Linked DNA regions of Arabidopsis thaliana. The protein of the gene in region 1 interacts with the protein of each later gene in a biochemical or structural test. Each region holds a gene or a part of one and is shown on either strand. Other genes may lie near its edges.

Region 1 (5,696 bases):
GAGGCCGTTTTCGCGACGGAGCATCTGGAGAAGGAGACCTGCGCCTGTGGTGTCGTTGACGGTCCCGGTCCCGGTCACGGTCAATCGAGCGGGAACGAGAGCGATACCTCTCCGGAGAGCGCACGTGGCGAGCACGAGCGTGGTGGTCTGGAGTACGAGATCGGGATTTTTTGTTTCTAAGCCCTCGGTCACGGTCGCGCTCTCTATCTCTTTCCCGGTCTCGATCACGGTCACGGTCACGGTCGTCTCTACCTCGGCGTCTATCACGGTCTGGTTCACGGTCCTTATCCCTCTCTCGTTCGCGGCGGTCGCGCTCTGACATGGTGGTGATGCGACTGAGGAAGGTGCTAGTGTCAGGGTTTAACCAATTTCAACACTGTAAATTTTCTTCCCCAATTTTTTCTATTAAAATGAAAATTTGGGGTTTTATCCTCTATTTTTCCAATTTTCTTATATTCATCATACTCAATGGAAAAATAATAATAATCTCATTTTGTCTCCGAACTAAAAGTATGAAATTGGAAATGAAAATAGTGGTCCAATAGCATAAGAAGAGAAAGGATCTTATTAAAGTTTGTAATCATAAATAAAATTTACAGAATATGAACACAAATGCACTTCTCAAACTTCAAAGAGAACAACAGAAACAAGCACTACAGAGAGAAAGAGAGAGATGACATTTTCACTATATATATTATATAAGCACTAAAAGTCCTCCTAATGAGGAAGAAAGAAGAAGAAGGACTTAAAAAATATGAGCAGTACCAAAGTCCCACCACTGAGTCGCTCTCCCCTAAAGCTCCAGTATCCTAACCGAGAACCCTTTTTCATCTTCTTCTATGGCTGGGTTCTCTTTCATACATAGGCTCTCTTTGGTTACGTGAGATAGCTCGCTAGTGATAATTCGTGTAGCTCACTTAGCATCCATTCTTCTCCGGTCTGACCACCTAGCACTATCGCTCGTGTTCCTCCCACAACACAAGTGCCATGTCCCCAAGCAAACCGAGGCGGTCTTCCTGGAATGTTTAGTATTCTCCAAGTCGGTTTGTCCTCCGTTGGGTCAAGTAGATAAAGCTGAGACGCTGAGTGAAGCCCTGCCACTGAGCCGCCAAATATCAAGATTCTGCCTCCAGGGAGGTTAACTGCAACGTGATCTAGCCTTGGTGGTGGTGCTACTCCTCCTGGGTTTCCTGCTCCAGGCATTCCGCTACCGGTCACACACCTCCAACAAGGCTCCTCTTCGCTTAGATCCATTGTGAAGACATCACTCGAACGGAATTTCAAAGGCCCGCTCTTAGCAAGACCACCAAACATCAAGATCTTTCTTCCTCCATAAACCGATAGTGTGTGGCCTAACCGGGAAGGCGGAGTCCAGGCAGCTGGAATCTCTCTCCACACTGGTTTCTCTATTGAAAGGTCGAGGAGGAACGTGTCACTTAGAAGAACGCCGGAATCTGCACAGCCTCCAGAGACTATCAGTTTGGTTCCGTCAAGGGTGCATGAGCTGTGCCATGATCTTGGTAGAGGCGGAGCCAAACCCGAAATTTCCCTCCAAGTAGGCGGCTTAGCATCGAGATTCAAGACAAACACATCGTTCAGCAAACCTTGCTGACCACAGCCACCAAATACAACCAGATTGGAGCCATTTACACAAGTGAGCGTGTGGCCCCAGCGTCCTGGAGGAGGGGAGCTCACTTTGACATGTTGCCATTCAGGGTAATCAGAATTCAGATCTAAAACAAAGGTATCATTCATAGGCTGCATATTCACACCTTCTCCTCCAAACAGAACAACTCTGTTCCCGACAGCACAAGCACTAAAATTACAGCGAGAAGGCTCAACAGAACCTCCAACCGAAAGTTTTCTCCAAGCTGCAGCTTCAAGGGTGGTCAGTTCTCTAGCCAAGCGGCCCCAACCGAGTCTTTTAGCACCAGGAACAGTCTCTAATACCCGTGTTGTTTCACTTCCCCATGCATTCTGACAAACCCTTCGCCAAAGATCCTCATTCTTTGTCAGCACATATAGCCTGCGGCACACAGAGCTAACAGATGCAACGTCTCTTGGTGTCAGGCGTGACAATATCTTCATAGACACAACCTCGTCACTCAGCTGGAATAACCCACACATTCCTCGGGAAACATTCCGCTCCCCAGCAGCTAAAGCTGAGTATATCCCATCAATTGACTTTTCTTTTGTTGAAGATCCAAGAACAGGTCCAAGGTCAATGTCTGTCTCGATAAAGAACTGGATTCCAATTATATGGGTAATAGTATCATCGTCTCCATAAATAGGAGTCAACCGCAATCTATTCATCAACGGAGATCCATCTTTCCTAAAGTTCAACAACTCGCCTTGAAATTCAATGCCCTCATCAATACATTTTCTTATCTCGGAAACAACCATAGAGTCAACTAATGGATGCCTTCTTTTAGCAAACGGTCCTCTACATTGCAAGAAGCGGCTGCAGAATCCGAGAAATTAATTAAGAAACAATATAAGACCAAAAACAAAATTTATCTCCAACTTACTGATGCGGAAAAGCAATAGACAAAATATTTGGCCGTGCATGTAGAGACTGAAAAAAAAAACAAATACACCAAACAAGCATAATTATAACCTAACCAGATTTTCATTCTGTTCAAGAATAACAACTATTTGAACTGATCAGCTCCTCCTGTAAGATCAAAGCTTATTAATAAAGGAAGCTACTAGCACTTCTCTCATGGAAAACTAACACACAACTAAACGCATTGGACTTAGCCTTTTCACTGGTTCACTGCACATCAACATTGTAAAGAATTTATTGTGTTCGCTACGACCCCGAGAAACTACACAGGGATAGCTCGCTTTATCTCGGCATCTATATACACTTTCAAGTTTCCTTAACATGCGGAGCAGCTGAAACAGCTCAAAAACAGCCATGAGAGCTCGATTAATATGAAAACTACAATCACTGAATAAACATCTGAAGGCAGAGAATACTTAGGCACACACAGAGACTCCACTGAGTCTTCTCTGCCATTTGGCAGAGACTCTAATGATTATCTAACAATAGACATATCTTTGTTTTCTCTCCACCAAAGTATCCATCCATACTAAATCTAGTGATCAATAGAGTGTCCTTCAGATTACCATCATCACAAACATTCCTCACCTATCCTCAAACTAAACGGACCTTAATCAAACTCCACCAAGTAGCCAAAATTTGGTAAAGTGAGCCAATAACCAAAAATAGAAATTCCTCGCATCAATTAGAACACTAATCACAAAGATAACAAAAAAACAACTAACCAATTTCCTCCGAGAACTTCCTCAGCACGATACCCTGTAACCATTTCGAAGACGGTGTTGACATATATAATAGGTTGGTCCGGCTCAACGGCATCAGTAACAACGAATCCACAAGGCGCCGTGTGAAGCAAATTCCCAACGGGATATGGAATTGGTCCACCTCCGGGAAAAAGACCTCCCTCTTCATCATCCGCCAGTGACGAAGCATCATCGGCGCTTAGATCGGAACCACTGTCCCACTCCATGAAAATTCAAATAGTTACCAGACTGATTTCAGTCGCCGGAGATTATGAAGACGGCGATTGAAAAACAATCCGGCGTGAGATAATCGGAAAATTTTGGGAAAAGGAGATTTTCGGGGGTTGAGAGAGAGAGAGAGAGAAGATGGTGGACAAAGAAACGAGTGGTAACCGTCGAGTTTGGTGGAAAAATCTCGGCCGTATGAGTTCATTCGAACGGGTCGGATTTTATCCGGGTCCGGATTTCTCTGTCGGGTCAAGTAGATAAAACCATAAAACTCCCCTTGATTTTTGGGAAAAATGTCATTAAAATCTCCAACTTATTGAAAAAGTTGATTTAAATTATCAACTTCCAACTAAACGAAATAAATATCAAATTTTTGTTGACTTTCCAAATAAATACCAAACTTTCGTATATATGGTCATATTAGGTATAATATTAAGTAGATTAACATATTGCGTTCACGGAGTTAATTTTCTGTTAACAGATCCGTTAATTTAAAACGTTATTGTTTCCTATAACAAGAAAGCGACCTCGTTTTATTATAACGACCGAATTAAATTCCCAAATCCAATCTTAAATCTCCAAATCAAGCAAAATTCTAACCCTAAATCTTCATATGATTTGAAATTGGGATTTAATTGAGCATTTATGACATAACGACGTTGTTTTATTGTTATAGGGAATATTGTCGTTTTCAATTAACGAGTCTGTTAACAAAAAATGGACTCTAATAACAGGGTCTGTTAATGTCATACTTAATATGGCTACTCGAACAAAAGTTTGATATTTATTTGGAAAGTCAACCAAAATTTGGTATTTATTTGGAAAATCAACAAAAGTTTGATATTTATTTCGTTTCGTTGGAAGTTGAGGATTTAAATCAACTTTTTCAATAAGTTGGGGATTTTAATGACATTTTTCCCTTTGGTTTTTAGACTCTCTTTAGCTGAGCTGAAGCTTATTACTTTCCAAATTTGTGGGCTCATGTCTTACAATAAAGCCCATTACAATAAAGCCCATTATAGTCCAGTAAATGAGATTATGTGACTGAATAGTATGAGTTTCGTAATAAGAAGACGCCATAAAATGGAAAAATAGCAAGATCTATAATTATAGTTACGTAAATGAAAATTTGTTAAGGTTGTTGGTTGCTAAATCTTTTCTTGAACCGTCTCAATTATCAATTGCCTATCATTTAATCTCTTCTGTAATGTTCCTTTTATACGCAGAGGACCAAACTAGTTACATCAAATCAATAGATAGTTAGTTGAAACAAATAACTTCTCGTAACTACTGGTTAATCGAATCGGTTCGGTATATCATAGAATCATAGGTGCAAACAGACTTTTAAACCAACATCAAACAGCTGAATTGGAATTAAGATTTAACCCAACTTTAGTGTTTTATATCAACAATAATAAGAATAAGTTGTAAGTACTTATATATAAGTAGTTAAGTACTGTTTTATATCACCAATAATAAGACTGTTTTATAAGCCTAAGTTACCGATATGGGGCAACTATCTTATGAACTTTATTTGAAGGTTATTATCTCATGAAATGAATTGACATACTCAATTTAACAAAACAGGCTTACCTCGTGTTATTAATTATAAGTTTCGTATAAAAATAATAAAATTGATAGTAAAAGTTAAAACAAAATGGAGAAATTGTTTGTAATGATGCTAAATACAATTTTTTTGTATTATATTTCCCTTACAAAGTAGCAAATTGGTCAAAATTCTTCGTCACCTCTTTCTTTTTTCCGACATTCTTCACCTCGTTCTGTAAAACTACTAAGTAAGTAACTAATACAATGCCATACGACTAAACAATATCTTCGCAAATAAAAAGAAAAAGAAAATATTTCTTTTAAATTATGGTATTTAGTTTTTAACAAAAATATAAAATATAGCGATTTACATTTGTATTACTGATATAAATAGATCATATAATTTTGACATTAAAGACTTTAGAAAAATTATAATTGTAAATATTTTTTTTGTGTATGACAATTTAACACATAAAAAGGACGTGAGAGAACAAGTGGGTTTGGTCGGTTGTTTTCTTTACACTTTGCAAAATTCTCTATTCATTCATATCTTCGACGAGATGCTAAAATGCCCCCACTATAAAATTCCTTTTTCTTTATACAAATTTTGA
Region 2 (7,896 bases), on another chromosome or scaffold:
TTTAAGAGTATTCGGAAATAAGTAAATTTGTAAATTTTTCACTTCTATACATTACGATTTAGAATCCACTGAAGACTAAACACCAGACGCACAAAAAAAAAGATTGAGCTACTTCGTCATTTAAAATGTACAGAGAAGAGGTTGAGTTATATAAGACACCGAGCGAGAGCAAATCCAACGCCGGTGGGAGTGATTGCGTCAGTCACTCATCATTACAACATTACATACAACAAACTATATATATATTCTTCTTGGTCTACGTCCAAATGTTTTGTCTAGAGAACTAAAATTTACCAAAAACAAAAGTGGGTGCTCGTTATTGGGACAAGGATATAGTACAGCCGAGTTCCCGAGCCGCAGTGTCGAGAAACTGAGTAGGCATAGTTGTGGAGAGCAAGCTGTGAGCTTCCCAGTTTAAACAGTTTTGGATATCGGCTTTCCAGTCTATTGAGGCGGCGTTGAAGAATCGATAGGACGGACTATTCATTCCGTTCTTCTCTGTTGTTGGCAGTTTTGGAGTTACTTTGATGGGTATGGAGCTTTGGTTCATGATATCACGTAGTACTGACGTGCTTAAGGCACGTACGTGTGCACTTGGGTGTGAAAGGCACCGTATTGTTGCTGGTAGACGACACTGCATAGAAGCAAAAAGATGTGAACAAGGTTAAGCACTTTGGTAACTGGACCTACTACTGATCATCTACAATCGACGCAGGAAACCATAGGCTCTGTTCGATTCTGCTTTTACCTTCAATAGATTGGATAAACCGTCGACCACTGCTAGTCCAGATGGCCCCCAAGCTAGCACCGGCTGTATTGCTCTTGCCGTGGCTTCAAGTAGCTGCAAAAGTTTAAAATACAGTGGAATCAGAAAATGATTATTACTCTAGCCCGAAGAAGGGCATTGAAGAGCAATCTATAACAGTGCAGTACCTCAAGTTGAGGTAATGTACAAGCTTCTCCATCAACAAGCATTCCATCAGTTGCCCGCAGAAGAAGATCTGATGCACTTGCGAGAATCACCAGTGACTCAGGCCTGTCATGATTGCGCATGAGTTCCACCAACACTTTGACTATCCGTTGGTTGATTTTCCACATTTTTTGGCCTTCTTCATCATCTTTGGCGATCCAAGGCTGCAACTCCCTTTCAGCCTGTAAATAACACAAGACCATTTCAGACAATAGAGCATTAGAGTAAATCCTTCAACATATGAGCTTGAAACAAGCCATTATTTTACACAGATTTTTTCTTCCTTATTTCCTATCCTTGGCATATTAAAACAAGTGTTGCATATAAATTCCAAGCTTAATTTTTATAAATTCATGAGAGATCAAATGAGTGAACCAAGCATTATAAAACATTAACACAGGCCATAGGTTTTCCGCAGTTTAATCTTTACACAGGTGTTGCATTCCTGACAAATGAAATAAAAAGTCAAAGAGTAATTTGGACCTGAAGGACAACTGCTGCTGCTGCTTTCGCTGGCGTTGCAGATACGACATTGCATAGCGCATCAACAACCTGATATATAAAAAATATGATCAGTGTATGAAGTCGAGCGACTTAATTGGATTAGTAAAGAACTACCAAGGAAACTGTAAGCGAGCTGGGAAATAGAAGTGCTGAGGTTTACCTGTCTCCATCCTTGTTGCGCAGAGGTGCTTTCTGCGGTGGGCTGGATTTCAGGAGCAGCAATCAGTTTGTGCCATAACAGTGAAACAACGGAGAAAGACAGCTCCGGTTTCTCTGCAAGCACTGACCTCAAAAGCTTTTGTGTACCACAATAGAACCCTGCGAGTCTATCAGCTGTGAGGAAATTCGCAAGATCAGAAGCATCCAAGAGGAAATCTTTGATACCCTTCTCTGAGGGTCTCCCTGAGCCTTCATCTGAATGTCTAGCATACTTATGGTTTCCTCTTGGATTCATTTCAGTCCTTGAGGCGGATGTCACCGCTGTATCAAAGCATGTGGTGCTTGCACATGTGTTCTCTTGTTTCCAGTTTAAACAGGTCACAGAATCCTTCTGAACCGGTGTATTCTTAAGGTAGGCTTCCAAGGGTTCAGCTTTGTCAACAATGGAGGCAACAACTTTGCTGTGAACATCTATGAGGTTATATAATGATGATGCTCTTTTATGAATTTCCTTATCCCACTTACATCTCATCAACCCAGACAATGCATGCGTCAAGGCCTTTGAACGTCTGAACAGTTCGGAAATATGAGCTGCAACCATGGCCGCAGCAACTATCTCACTAGAACTGTAACTCCATGGAGTCCCCACAGAAGATGGTTTTAATGAAAAGAGTGCCTCTAGGATTGCCAAAATTCGGCGCGTATGACTAATTGCCGAGTCAATCCCAGCTCCATACTCTTTAGATGACCCATTTATCTTTACAGGCTTTGTAATAGTTCCAGCCACGGCAGAATTGGAAAAGTTCCCCCCACCAGAGATCATAGGATACAGCTGAACCTCACAGGCAAGAGCACAAACAGCAGCAAGAACGTATGAATCAAATGCTGCCACAGGTCCCTGTCCCTTGACATTCCTACTTTTACGGTTAGCAGTTTGATTGTTAGATACAGGTTGATTCGCCTCAATATTTTCAGTAGTACTAGCATATTCACTTCTCGGTCTCTTGCTACCACTAGACTGTGCTTCATGGCTAACACATACAGTCAACACAACAAAAAGTAGGCGTGAAGCTAATTCCACACCAGCGCATGATTCTAAAAAGAGAGCATGGACCATAGCACGAAGCTCAGACATAGCAAGATTTTTGGTCGCTGATCTTGTGGTAAAACTCGATCTAGCTTTTCTGGTTAGTTCCCTGGAAGATTCAGGCGGAAAAGTTCTACTGAGTATTGTTTCCACAGTGGCAACAAATATTTTCATCAAGCATGCTTCCGAAGGACTCCCCCGTGGAAGATATTCAAGTACTTTGAGGAGTGGAATGTATAAATTCCATGACAAGATAGGAGGTTGCAGTGGGGTAGCAACTATGATTTCGGGAAGATCAACCGCCGAAGAATTTAAAGGGATCAAACCATAAGCAGCTTCCCATATAGTGCAAATTCTCCACTCAACTTCAGGACCATGAGCACAAAGCATTGAGGCAATTCCTTGGGCAGTGGCTTCAATGGTTGCTTCTGCTGCAGGAACTTCTATCTGTTGAGATGAAATGAGTCAGTTTCAATATAATTTTCTAGTAGAATGCCAATCGCATATCAGAGATGGAATAGCAGAAAAATATAAAGAGGAACCATGCCTGTTTTCTGTAATTTGAACTGTAGCCACCAATAGGCGCGTGCTGAATTTCTACTCCCTCAACTTGACTTAGCGGAGGAAAAAGCAGTGCCGGCTGTGAGAGTATGCGGAAAAGCAAAGCGGCTGCAGCATCAGCAGCAACACCTGCCCTCATAGACATAGCAATTCCTATAGCCCGCAAGAAGTGCAAATGCATCCAGTTCCTGGGTAGCTGCACCAAGAAAAAGAATGTGATCAAAGCTGATTTCTTTGATGACATACCAAAGCTGACTTTTTTTATAACAAGGGACACAATTAGCTTTCTGGAGGGTAATTAAGAGATTCATATTACGCTTACCCTTACACCAGATGCATAATCTTCAGCAGCTCGAAGGAGTTCCACAAGCTGTACAGCAGCATCAAGTGCATCTGGAGCCCACGACGGTGGTGCTTCTAAGAGTCCAAGAAGAAGTCTCTGCGTAGCACTTGGAGTTGCAATGGCATAGTATCTGACAGTATAACAGGAAAGTGAGAAAACAATTCTGATCTAGGGATTCGAGGAAGCACAACCTTAAAACTAGCAACAGACTACTACCAATAAACCCTAATTGAAAGGGTAAGCCCAGAAACAATACCTATGAAACAAACGTGCATATGGTTCAAGAGCTGGAAGGCCAGCAACTAGATGCTCATCTAAGGATGTCGTTGGCGGAGGAAGAAGAAGTGCAGGGACAGCGACCGCTGTCAGCGTAGCAGTCTCATATCGAGCAACTTCATCATCACAAACACTCAGTATGACACCAGCTCCATTAGCAACAGCCCATCTTGGGGTTGAAGGCATCAGTTGAGGATGTTTACCAGATCCTCGAGAAGCTGCCAAAGTAGGACAACATGAAAGTTATAGGAAGCAACTCAAAACACATTCTATAGCCACAGGTGATGGATACACATTTATGAACGAAGTGATAGAACAACTCTATTGATCAGAATTATCATCAAAATCCAGTTCCAGGGGATATTAACATGGAATTCTTGAACTCACCAATGGTTGGCGGCTTGAGCTCTCCAGCAGCATATTTACCCATTACACCACTACACCTGTAAATAATAAGCAACATTTTTAGTTGTCAGTAAGCTTAATCCACTACAGAACCTCAATACATAGACCTCAGCAGAGAGACCAAAATAAAAGAAGGAGGCCGGCGCATGAACACATAGAAGCATCAGTAACAGAGTCTACTTACCATCGGAAATAGTCACTTCTTATACCAAGAGGAGCAGCAAGTAGTATATCACTGATCCATGGAGACAAAGGCCTTAAAGGTTTCCTTTCATGCTGTGTTGGTGATCCAGCCTTAGGCTCTGAAGTCGGAGAACCACTAGTTGTAGCTTTGCTCAGACAATTTCTCTCTGTATCTCCATTTTGCTGCTCAGTTTTATAAATGGGACGGTTGTAATGAGTCAAAATGCGAAGGATTTCTCCACATGCCAAAGCCCATTGCTCCGAATAGTCATTCTGTTAGGATAGTGAACATGTTAGCACAAAATGGTATAGGTTACACCAAATCAGTAAGCATGATACTAGACAGCTATTATATACCTCACTACTTGGGCAAACTAAAGATATGAAAGAGGCAAACGGATGAGCTTCCTTGCTGTACACCAACGAGCCATCAATAAGACATGAAATGATTGGAAGAATGACTGCATGACCATGCTCCGGATGATGAAGGACAAACATCGCTGTTTCATCAGAAAACGAAAATCAGATAGACATTCACACACAAAAAGAGAAGTGTGGATCATAAATGTTGATCATACCCAGCACATCGTCTAAAAGTCGCTTCTCAGTTGATGGATACTGATGCCGGACCAACTGATACAGATAAATTATACATGAATCAAAACGTCACTACTAAGAGAATACTCTTATTAAACTCATTAGGTATCAAGTACCTCAGCAATGTCATCTGGGAATTGCTCTGATGTAAATTGACCAAAATATTCAACATAAGCAACGACTTGATCCTTATGTTGTTGAGGATCTCGTGGCGGAGGCCATAACAAGGAAGAGAACTGAAGACCATCGATCCATCTCTCAGATGAAGATGAACTAGCCATCCAGGAACCGAAACTAAACCCCAACTAGATGAACGAACAATCTAACTAACACCTTTCTTCTACTATCAATCGAGAATCAATACGACGTAGTGTTAACATTCGCCAGCAAGAACAATCACTATACACATCTCCCAGATTCTTTTAAATCCTTTTTATACTAATCAACACACTGTACACTAAATCGAAGCTGAATCAAACAGCTAAACCCTGTAACAACAATTCAGAAGAACAAAATCTCAATCAGATAAGATGTCAAATCAAACAACAAATCTAAGCTGAGAAAACAAAAAATGCTAGTAGAAACAGTGATTTACCAAGAACTTATTTAAAAAAAAAAGACATCAAATGATTCGGGAAAAAATCTCATCTGAGAATCAATCAACCAAAAACCACGAAAAAGGTAGTAGAAGAAAGACCTGAAAGTAAATATGTCTTCCTATGAGTTTGTTGGTTGGTTATCTCTACTCTTGCTTTTTTTTGGCTTTGAGGATATTTTTGAGAGATCGACGAATATCGGAGAAAAAAAGAATACATACACAGAAGAAGAGATTGTGGTGGCCTTAGGAGAGAGAGAGAGAAAAAAGAGATTTGGAGGCTTCTCCACTCGGTTTAAGATTTCCCGTCTGCTTACGTGTCATCGATATTTCCTTGCCTTTGCCACCACCTTTATGCGCCATTACCATATAACCATCATCATCCCACATACATCTCCACCCATACCATGGTTAAAAAATTTACCATATTTTTGTTACATTTTTTAAGCATATATATATGAAATTTTATTTTAAAAAATTTTACTGGTAGTTTATGTTAGTGTTGTTTTGGAATCACAATGCGAATTCAAATTCGTATATTGTATGTTACAATCACCAAGAAAAATGTTTGCCAATTTAAGTAATTAATTTTAATCCTAATAAATAAATTTTGTAAACTCAGATTTACTCCAAAATTCTGTCTATTTTTAACCATGAGCTAAGTTTAAAATCTACTTAAACATATAATTATATCAATAATATTTGGCTGTTTTAAAATAAACCATTACATTCACAGTATGGCATATATTGGTAAAGAATTTGTACAAGTAATCAGAGAGATTATTTTATTTCAAGGTTTGGTGGTCATGATTGTATTATTGAGTTATTAATTTAAGTATATAACATCTCTCATGTGATTGCCTAATTAATTAATAGTTTCATTACACAAAAAAAAAGCTAGTGACATATGTCCACAGATATTTTGAGGGGAGCTAAGTTCAGATGCTACGAGATGTTACGTACACCTTCGAATTATCCACCGTTGATTCAAGCCCACTCAACAAATTCCTTTAAGAGATTTCGGGCAGCTAGCCCAGAATAGTTTCGAGCCGTTCGATGGTTGTAGATAAACGGGCAGCTTTTGAGGAACAGCCCGTTGAGAAAATATCTAAATGGGCCTCACACATCTTTTAAGATATTTTAAAATCTTACCACTTGTCTCTACTGTACCACATAAACAAGTAGCACAATAAAATGATGACGTGTACCAATCAGAGTGGAGCAAGAGATCTGTGGACGTTGATCACTCGCCAAATAAGAGACGTGGCGCAATAAGATGTGAGCAATATATTGTAATGATCTCCATACGATTCGTGATTGTGTGGTCCACTTCTGTCTGGATGGCTCTTGTCTGAAGAATACTCCATGGTAACATAACTGGGCTTTGGTCATGTACCATGTGATGTGATGGGCTCAAACCTTACGTGGAGTTATGTAACTGGGCTAAATTGTAATTTTAATTTTTCAGTAATTGCTTGTAATACAAATATATTTTTTGATATCAAATTGTAATTTTGAGGAGAACTTACTATTATTAATGAAGATGATAAAATGTTACATTAATGTATCATTCTAATCATAGTAAATATATTAAGAATTACCTCAATTTTTTGGTTTATGATTTACCAATTAGGGAAAACATTAATTTTAATAAAAGCTACTTTGCCTACCTCTTTTTTTTTTGTTAATATATCATTTTAATAACAAGCTTTTATTAAAGTAATATTATGGTGGAGAAATTTTTATAAAATTCTAAAACTTTTTGAAAAGGCGTATTCTCAAATTGTAGGCATTTCAGTTGATATATTATAAGTTTAAGTTATAGTCCAACGAATTATTTCTTTTGTGGTTTAGCAAACGAGATGTTCATCATTACCCATTTCATTGTCAACAAAACCTTTAGAAAATGATATTAGTTATCTTCAAGTATGACTATTATAAATTTATACAGTACAATATACTTTTTTCACAGAAGGACCGTGACATCAATCAATTTAGTATAAGAAAAATCAAATGGAAAAAAAAAAAAAAAAATCAAATGAACATCTTTGCAACGCGAAACTAAGCTCAACACTTGATTTATTCATTATGTTATACTTTAAATTTAAAAATCTTTAATGATATCTTCTTCTTTTTTTGCTAAATTCAAAAAATCTTTAATGATATATAAATTTAGTAAATATTACTGATTAGAGATATGCTGGTTTAGTTTTCAT
Region 3 (5,773 bases), 1.4 Mb from region 1:
TTTCATTTGCTTTTTTTCCTGATTATTTCTTTGTATGTGCAGTATACCCACAGAGTTAAATGGAGATATAGATCGGTACGCAGCTGAGATACACCAGAAAGAGTTCTCTGGAGCTACTGCTACTCAGAAACTCATTTCTAGCAACCCCAAGGCTGAAGAGATTGAGTCTTTGTTGAATCCGAGAACTGTTCTTGACGCTTTCTTGTCTCTGGAGCCATATGATTATCAGCAGAGAGCCGGAATCCGTCTAGTTGCTAGAAAGCTTGTTATACATTAGTGGACCTTACTCAATAGCACCACAGAGAATTAAAGAAATCAGAGTTTAGTGGACTGTAGAGATTTATTTATGTAGTCATGAAAGAAACACAGAACTGTTGTTCCTGACAGTAGATATACAGCTGATTATGTTCTTAGTTTCAGATAACTTAAATCCAAATTTAGATTTTCATATGCTTCTTGTCTGTGACACAATTGCATTTGTATTGTGTTTTTCCGAGGAAAGACAGAAGCTTTAGTGGTGGAAGACATGGAGCGATTATATATAATTATATATGTAAACACAGGTGAGAGAGCGAGGGAAAAACAAGATTCAAGTAAATGATACTGGAAGGAGAAGAAAGGTTAATACATCTGAGTACTTACTGAGAGAATGTGAGTGAACATGATAAAATACATTATATGTTTATCAACGAACTAAGCTAAACCCAATGAGAGCTTTTCAATGCTCTGTCAAAAAGTTGAGCCGCAAGAGCCAACATTGCCTTAGAGACAACTCGATATTCGATGTTTTTTTGGCTGTAGCAGTATCATCTTTTTCGTGTCAGTCGATCAACATCTTCTGTTGTTTGATAAGATGCAAGCAAATACGTATAACACAACGGTTTTCAGTTCTTGGTGTATCTTCAAGTTCCCAAAGCATCATCCTGAGGAGATGAATCCCGGTTCTCCTCTTCTTCTTCTTCTTCCTCCTCTTCCTCGTCATCATAGTCAGCAGAGTCAGGCTGTCCATTTAAATCAACATTCACGCCGTTCATCTTCCTAACAAACTGACCCTTAACGCGGGGTCTCCTCTCAGCAAGGCGTTTCCTATTCACATACCTAATCTTCTTATCAAAACAACGTTGGTTCCTTTTACGTCTGAATTTCAGCAGAGCTTCCTCTCTTCTGTCAAGTTTATTTACCCTCACCTCATTAGAAGGCGGATTTCCTGCCGGTGACCAAGAATGATGAACCATAGACATCTGACCATTCTGTAAAGACATCTGACTATGCTGCAAAGATGTGTTCATTGGGTGGTGGTAGTAAGGATATCCCGTCATTCCATTCGGATGATTTGGTTGGCAATGAGGAATTTGATGACCATATTGAGGCATCATGGCTGCTGATTGCATCATAACTTGGTTCATGACCCCATGCATATAGTAAGGATAGGCATTTGGTGCAGAGAAACCCGATCCATCAACTTGAGACGAATCTTTACTTCTGTTCATAGCAACTTGGGGAATATTCATATTGCCCTCTTGGTAGTTCCTACCATGAGATTCCATTGATGTGGGAAGCGTGCGTGACCGCTCAAGGGAATGTGGATAGCTGGCGCCATTCTGCAAGGTCTCTCCTTGAGAATGGTATTGCTCGGTCCCTCTACTTCTGTGTGCTTGTTTGGTGTTGTTGATCCCTTCACTAGCCACCACTTGAAACTTTTCCGCCGCACCCCGATGAAGATGATGTGAGCCATTTCCATTGACAAGAGGAGGATCCTGACCGTTAGTTCTAAGGACAGTAGATTTTGGTGTTGCTCTGCGTGCTTGTTTGGTGTTGTTGATCCCTTCACTAGCCACCACTTGAAACTTCTCCGCCAAACCCCGATGAAGATGAAGTGAGCCATTTCCATCGACAAGAGGAGGATCCTGACCGTTAGTTCTAAGGACAGTAGATTTGACATATGTAAAGAAAGCAGAGGACTCTCCGATCTTCAATCTACTTTTCTTCGGTGCTGAAGAAAATTGCGCTGCAAAACCCCTACTATATTAGAATTCACTAAAACAAAGGTTCTTTTAGAGACTAGCTATTAGAAAGTGAGACATCAAAGAGAAACAATCACCTGGATTACTATTTCTTTTCATTGGCTCATGGTGAGACCCAGCAAGATGATCCAATGGAGGCTCTATAGCAGTAACAGCAAGAGAAGAAGTGGCTGTTCCATCAGCACCAAGACCACCATCACGAGCATGAACAGGAGCAGTAGCAACAGACCACTACCAGCAAAAGCATGAGCGCAAGCTAAAAAATCAGTTCTTCTCCATTTTCAGAGGGCTTTAAACTGTCAAATACTTTCTCACCTCATTTTCCTGGTGACTTAAATTTCCTCTCTGTGGGTTGGTGGACCTAAGACTTCTATCATCTGTGTCGTCAGAGAACAGGTTGGTACTATTTGTGTTTGGATCACTTTGATCAGATCCCACAAGATCAAAATCATAGCTCAACATATTCTTCTCAGCAAGTCCTAGCTGCCAAAACAAATATATGAAATCAATAGCATTAACTTCATGCATCAAGGTCTTTTATTTCAGAAGACGACAGATTGAGAGATATGGCTATCAAGTATTGCTCAAAAACAGTAAGATAAATAGAGAGAACTTGAGACAAGCAAAACAAACCATGCGTCTTCTTCTCCACATGTGTGTCCACAAGTTCAGAAGCTCGTTGGTGCGAAGAGGCTTCACAAGGTAGTCAGCTGCACCTAGCTTCAAGCACTTTACAACGACAGGGACTTCGTCTTGCCTCGACATCACTTAAATTGAGAATATTATAAGATTAGTCAGTATAAAGCTAATGATCATGCTGTCAAAAGCACTTTGATAAGCAGAGAAGATACAACTTCACGAATAGATAATAAAACGAGAAGAGCAACAAAGAACACAGCTTACTTATCACAGGGATTCTGCGAAGATCTTTGTCTCGTGTGATGTACCTCAGCATCTTCATACCCTTAGCCATTGGGAGATCAATTTCCGCCAGTATTATATCGATATCAGGTCCCTCTGCATTAAGTGCATCAATCACCTGCCTTGCTGATTTCACTGCAGTCACTGCATTCCAAAAAGAATAAAAACAATTCATCCAATATATCATCATTGAGTCTTGAACAACAAACAGTTGAGCATAGTGTAAAAATAGAAAGCAATACACACTAGAGATGCATTCAAAAACTATCAATAAGGTACTAAAATCAACAAAGGTTAAAAATGTCATCTTGATCACATCTGACCATACTGACTCAAAAAGCCAGACGACAAGAACCTATAAGAGATCTGCAATCTAAAGTAGTAATCCCAACTTAGCAAAAAATAACAAAGTAAAAAGAGAAACTTTGGGAACAAGACAAGGACAAACCTATAAATCATACCTTGATAAGAACACTCTGAAAGGAGAGTAAAAACCTCTCCCAAACTCGTGGAATCATTGTCACAAAGCAAAATCCTGACTCTGCTTCTATCAATAAACCCATCTCCTCCTTTACACTCACCGTTCAAATCCATGATCAGATTAACAACTAAACCCACACAAAAAAAATATCTAATCACAGAACCTAAGAAAAAAAAGGATTATACAAAAGTAGAAGAAGTAAAGCCGACAATAGTAAGTGCTATGATACTTCCATGGCCAAATCAGAACTAGGGTTTTTCGGTACAGTGTCCCTACAAAGTCGCCTAATTTATCCCCTTAACAAAGTCAAGTAATCTCACAACCAAACAAAAACTACTCTTTTAATCCCCCAACCTAATCCTTTATCCATAAGAACAAACAAAAAGATAAATCTAAGAACAAAGAGCTGAAATAGGAAATTCTTTTTTCTCTATATCGAATCATGAATCAACAAAAAAGCTCAACAAAAGTCACCGGAGATCCGGCGTAACGCCGGCGGTGAGATGAGGAGGAGAGAGAGAGAAGGTGAATTTCCGACAAGAAGAGTGAGAAGAGAAAGAAGACTCATTGTTTTGTTTTGTCAATCAATGGTCAAATTATGAGACGCGAAAAAGAGAGAGAGAGATGGTAAATCAGAGACCGTTGAAAGAGGATAGAATTGGACGGTGGAGATTAAGTCTTTTTCTTACGCGTTGTTGTGTAGCTTAATGGTGGGACTTGGGATATTTTAGGCCAAGGAGATGACGTGGACAATAAAAAGTGCAGGCCATAAAAAAAAAGGTTGTGTTGGATAGTTTGGTTGAGATAGAGAAAAGGCCACGTCATCTTGGAGAAAATATCTCATGATATTTATTTTTGTTTTTGATATTATTGTGGTAAGATACAAGATAAGAAGATGCATCTCCATATCAAAATCAACAAACATATCAAAAGGTCGACAGAAAGAAAAAATTGCAAATTCTTTTAAAATATATGACCAGATCAGACCAAACCATCAGAAACCAAATTTTAGGATTCGGCTTCGTTTCGTTTATTAAAATATATTTATAACAACAAGAAAATCTATTATCAGAATTTTATTTTTCTGTTATCTTTAGGTACTGAAGAATTAAAGATACAAACAAAATAAAAATAAAAAACGAAAGATACAGATATAGAAAATTTTACTTTTATTACATCTCAATTTCTCATCACAAAAGACTCCTAAAAATTATGATTCTTTCTAAAAGCACAGGGTTATAGATATAACACTCCTTTCATGGTTGTTATAGAGGACTTATTTAGGCATTATGATTCATTAACTTCTTAAAGTGATTGAAAAATCAAGCTAAATGATATGTTGTAACAAAGTTTCAAGTGTTTTTTTCTAATGTTATAAGTGTATGTGTGCAAATTGTCTTGTAAACAGGACATTAGCAAGATGAAATATTTACCTTCTTAGCAAAAAAGATGGTTAATCTCATCATCAGTGGTTGGGAAACAAATAATCAAGTTGTCATAATCATAAAAAGAGATAATTAGTAGGCTAAACTTTTATATAGAAAGTAAGTAGTCGACAAGCTAAAATATTTCGTATTACCGATTGGCTCATATTAGTAGCTGCGAATATCGTTAGTACAAGTGGACCAATAATGCATGATATATTCTCAACTTCATCCACCGTAAGACACGTTTTGTCCCGGTCCAACTTTTATTACGTTTTGCCATCGACCATTGACCAATAACTTGTTTATGACTTTATGATGTTAATTATTCGTGTAATTTCAGAACTATTTTATCGGGAGTTCGATTTTCCAATATGCATCGGCGGCCTTCGAGAGTAATCATTCCGGTTAGTGACTTATAAGTTATAACCATCGTATCTCACGATTATCGGTTTTATCCGGTTCTGAATTTGAAGCGTGATGGAATGTAAAAGACTAAAATGCCCTTTTCAGACACGCGGGCAATGTTTCCAACAAATGAATATATATTGTTGTTGAGCCGAGCGATCTCATGAAATCTGCAAATTTAGGTCTTTTAATAGAAATCTGAATTTCATGTTGCTGAAAGAATTTACAACGAAGTTGTAAATACTCTGAGAAACATGTAAGTCAGGAGAGAGTCCCTTCTATGGTTTATATTTGGCGGCTTTTAAGAAGCATACGCATATCAAGTGTTTGATGAAATTCCTCAGAGAAGATGATGTCCACCACAGTCAGATTAAACAGGTTTACGTATCTAACGAGTACTGCAAAACTGACACGTTACTTTTGCTCTCACCATTTAGTTGACCGATCGGAAACGGCGTTGCATGAAGTTATTCGGATAGTTTCTTCTCCAGTTGGTGGTCTAGATGACCTTGAAG
Region 4 (3,443 bases), on another chromosome or scaffold:
CGGAAAACTGGAGCTCGTACATTTCCGGAGTATTAGCAGATAGGACAGAGACAACGTCGGATCTTCCTATTCCAATGGAAGACAGAGCAGACGCGACGCAGAGGCAACGGTGATTCGTTTCTCGCCATGTGTACACGGTGGAATTGCCGTAAACGATGGAGGTACAGTCTCCATACACGGTGGCTGCTCTCTCAAGAAAGCCTAACAGTGTCAATGGTAACGAGTTAGCGGCACTTGGCTTCAAATCTTCCATTTTCTTTAGCTCTTTTCGAGTGACCACAATGTGAGTGTTACTGTATATAAAGAAGATATCTCTTTCAGTCTCATAGTAAAGATAAGATACACAATGACGAGACGAGAGACCACTTGACTAGCCAGACAAACAATTAAAGTAATTATATTGATGTACATGTGATCCACGTTCGGTTGAGTGGAAACTTTGTTTTCTTATATGCAAACAAAGCCCACATGTTATCGAATGTTGACGAATGGGTGATGCTGATTATGTTAGTATTTGAGAAGATGTTGACAAGATACAAATACGTGATGCAGATATTTATGTAAGTAGATGAGCAGGAGCAGGGCATAACTGGTGACCATTGGTTTCAATGAGTAGTCGTCATGATCCTTCACATTCTGCTTGCAGACTCTGCCAAATTCAGTTTCTTTTTATTTACACATGAACATTCCTAAAATGAATCGTGCAAATTAGCATTCTGTGGCGATTGGCAAGACAATTGAAAGAAGTTATTTTGTAAGACAAACCAACATCACTCTTGAAGATTATCTAAAAGCACAAATTATCCATCCCACAAAGAGTAAGAAACATTGGTTCTTGATAAGAAAGAAAGAAGAGGAAGAAGATAGTCATGATTCATGAAGAATATTAAAAAGCAAGTCATCAACAACACTTGAAAACGGCAATAAACATAAGGAAGAAGAAACTGGTTGCTTGCTGCTTTTGATTCTTCTCTCTGAAGATCAATCATTCAAAAGCCCATTGGTTCTCTCTGCGAACCTCTTCCTCTTCCTCTGGTGTGAAGTCGTTCTTAATGTTGAACGTTGTGCGGATCTCTTCTGGAGTCTTTCCTTTGATCATATCCGCAACTGTCTGACATGTTAGATCAAGCAAGTTCTTGATATTCAGGTAATTAGCAGCCTGCACAAGATCCCAAATTCATAACCATTAGATCAAAATCCGAATCCAAAAACACAGATATGATTATAATCCAAATCGATAGATTCAATTAATGATTGGTTCCATAAGAACCCTAACAATATCAATCTCAAGCAGATTCAATTTCTGAAACAAACACCTAAATTTCGAAACCCTAATTTTCCCAAATCGAAAACCCTAGAATCCCAAAATTCAAAATTCGATGGAAAAATCAAATCAGATCGAGAGAAGAAACATACCAGAATGAGTTCAAAGAGAGTAGCTTGATCGATCTTCATAAAATCAGCGTCCCAGGCCTTAAGATCGTCATCGGAGGTAGCAGCACCCTCGACGGCCTCGGCCTTAGAGGCAGCAGCCTCGACGTGCCTCTTGCAATACTCGATCACCTTGGCGAGGATCTTGCTCGTGACGTTAGGAAGAGGGACTCCGTTGTCGACGCAGTCGTCTTCAACCATATGCGCTATGGTTTGTGACTCGAGAGCCACCGCCTCCTCAACCTCGAAAGATTCACCATCGGAACTCTTCAACACAATCTTCTTCGCAGACATGGTTATGGAAACGAAGAGAGAAGAGAAAGATTTTAGATTTGGGAGATTTGTTCTTTGAAGAAAATTTTGGAGAAGCGATGAATGAAATAAAGAGATGCGTCTCTCTTTATATATAAAACAATCCCTAATTTTGATAAGTCGGTCGATTGTTAAAAAGTCGCAAGTTTAGGGAAATTAGGAAATTGTTTCAAATTTTGTTTTTCTAAAAGAAAAATAGAAATCAATCCTATTGATTTTAAATTTTGTTTTCAATAGTTGAAATTAATGAAATTAGGACTCTGTTCTATTTTTCTTTTGGAAATATTAACTTTGATCCGTTTAATTCGTTGTATTTATCTCATTATTAATAATATATGATTTTATATATATTTTTTTTCCATCCAGCTCCATAATTGTCAAAAAAAGTAAAAGAACCAAAAATCACCGTAGGATAAGTATTAGTCAATCAAATCAGCTTTGTCAGCTTTAAGATCATGTTTTTTGAACATTTATTTTTATTTTATATTAAGTTAATATTAATATGTCATAATAAATAATATATCTAACTAGTTTTTGGTCAAGAGTCATACAATATTTTAGGCCTGGGATAACGGTTCAACCCGAGAAAACCGAACCGAAAAAAACGAAAATTTTGGTTTTCGGCAGCAACCGAATTAAGGAGATCGAACCGATCGGCCAAATTAATTTAAGAATTCGGAAGTCGGTTCGGGTCGGTTCGGTAATCGGAACCAATCGGTTTCACCCATACCGAGAATCTGCAGCCATATATAAGGTTAATTGATGAGTCTTAACCTAATTAGGTTTCTTCTTCGTTTTTGGCTCTCTGCCTCTTGCGAAAACAACAAAGAAACTTTGATATTTTTCTTCGATTGAATTAGTAATCATCAACTCGTCTCTTCTCCTTCATGAATTCATCATCTTCCAAGCCTCTTTCATTCTCTCTAATCTCAGTTGGTCTTACAAAAAACCTTTGCTCAGAGATTCAACCCACAACCTCAACTTTCTTAGGGTAAACTCTTCTTATTTCTCTTTAATCATTTGTTTTGTTTGATTCTTTGCTCTCTAAGCTCTTCCTCTGTCTCTATAATTTCTGAAATTTTAGAGTTAGGCTTTACACTTCCAAATCTGAGATTATCCATTATTTTTATGGATCTTTTATGGTTTACACTTCCATCTCATGTTTTTTCTTACTTCATGGATAACAAACGGGCGTTTAACAGGTCTCGTAGGGCATTACGTCGTCGGAATGGTAGATCACTAGATTGGAGAGGCACTGCTCGACGTCGCAGTTTGGAGTTGTAGTCGTACATATTTTTTTTGTCAAAACTCAAAACCCTAATTTTGTAATGGACCTGACCCATAATTGTGTTGTGGATTTGTAATTGTAACTGTATATTTGTGTATTGGGCCTGTTGTTTGTTTTTTATTAGATTTCATTTTTGTAAGTCCATTTTTTTAATTTGTGGTTTATTTGGTTCAAATTAACCGAATTAGAAAAAAAATCGGTTTAATCCGGAATTTAATTTATACCCAATAACCGAACCGAAAAAACCGATGTCCGAACCGACCCGAACCGAATTTTTGTTCGGTTCAATTCGGCTAGAAATTAAAAAATCCAAAAACCCCGAAAAACTAAATAAACCGAACCGATTAAACCGATATATCCGAACTCCCAGGGCTACAATATTTATATAATGCTGTGGATTTTATTCTCTCTT

What was found.
Region 2: the proteins of ZTL (region 1) and GI form a complex in vitro, tested with the Arabidopsis thaliana proteins (one study listed by BioGRID).
Region 3: the proteins of ZTL (region 1) and TOC1 form a complex in vitro, tested with the Arabidopsis thaliana proteins (2 studies listed by BioGRID).
Region 4: the proteins of ZTL (region 1) and SKP1 form a complex in vitro, tested with the Arabidopsis thaliana proteins (one study listed by BioGRID).

Annotation. Positions count from the first base shown.
Region 1 is NC_003076.8:23,239,437-23,245,132, reverse strand, and holds ZTL (Galactose oxidase/kelch repeat superfamily protein), read right to left. Parts: upstream 3,707-5,696; 5' UTR 3,537-3,706; coding exon 3,292-3,536; intron 2,462-3,291; coding exon 918-2,461; coding exon of another isoform or gene 877-917; exon of another isoform or gene 810-876; coding exon 718-809; 3' UTR 543-717; downstream 1-542. Other genes in the region: AT5G57370 (U4/U6.U5 small nuclear ribonucleoprotein), read right to left, coding at 1-322. UniProt on the Arabidopsis thaliana protein: Component of an E3 ubiquitin ligase complex that plays a central role in blue light-dependent circadian cycles.
Region 2 is NC_003070.9:8,059,868-8,067,763, reverse strand, and holds the start of GI (gigantea protein (GI)), read right to left. Parts: upstream 6,014-7,896; 5' UTR 5,783-6,013; intron 5,574-5,782; 5' UTR 5,367-5,573; coding exon 5,202-5,366; intron 5,122-5,201; coding exon 5,067-5,121; intron 4,989-5,066; coding exon 4,846-4,988; intron 4,762-4,845; coding exon 4,490-4,761; intron 4,344-4,489; coding exon 4,288-4,343; intron 4,119-4,287; coding exon 3,881-4,118; intron 3,755-3,880; coding exon 3,604-3,754; intron 3,478-3,603; coding exon 3,268-3,477; intron 3,168-3,267; coding exon 1,635-3,167; intron 1,523-1,634; coding exon 1,454-1,522; intron 1,153-1,453; coding exon 934-1,152; intron 842-933; coding exon 749-841; intron 635-748; coding exon 317-634; 3' UTR 1-316. UniProt on the Arabidopsis thaliana protein: Involved in regulation of circadian rhythm and photoperiodic flowering. May play a role in maintenance of circadian amplitude and period length. Is involved in phytochrome B signaling. Stabilizes ADO3 and the circadian photoreceptor ADO1/ZTL.
Region 3 is NC_003076.8:24,673,306-24,679,078, reverse strand, and holds TOC1 (CCT motif -containing response regulator protein), read right to left. Parts: upstream 4,117-5,773; 5' UTR 3,540-4,116; coding exon 3,407-3,539; intron 3,090-3,406; coding exon 2,928-3,089; intron 2,792-2,927; coding exon 2,658-2,791; intron 2,508-2,657; coding exon 2,340-2,507; intron 2,256-2,339; coding exon 2,102-2,255; intron 2,009-2,101; coding exon 903-2,008; 3' UTR 529-902; downstream 1-528. Other genes in the region: AT5G61390 (Polynucleotidyl transferase, ribonuclease H-like superfamily protein), read left to right, coding at 43-277; AT5G61370 (Pentatricopeptide repeat (PPR) superfamily protein), read left to right, coding at 5,608-5,773. UniProt on the Arabidopsis thaliana protein: Controls photoperiodic flowering response. Component of the circadian clock. Expression of several members of the ARR-like family is controlled by circadian rhythm.
Region 4 is NC_003070.9:28,514,997-28,518,439, reverse strand, and holds SKP1 (S phase kinase-associated protein 1), read right to left. Parts: upstream 1,922-3,443; 5' UTR 1,726-1,921; coding exon 1,417-1,725; intron 1,160-1,416; coding exon 986-1,159; 3' UTR 544-985; downstream 1-543. Other genes in the region: AT1G75960 (AMP-dependent synthetase and ligase family protein), read right to left, coding at 1-253; AT1G75945 (uncharacterized protein), read left to right, coding at 2,631-2,734, 2,946-3,027. UniProt on the Arabidopsis thaliana protein: Involved in ubiquitination and subsequent proteasomal degradation of target proteins. Together with CUL1, RBX1 and a F-box protein, it forms a SCF E3 ubiquitin ligase complex. The functional specificity of this complex depends on the type of F-box protein.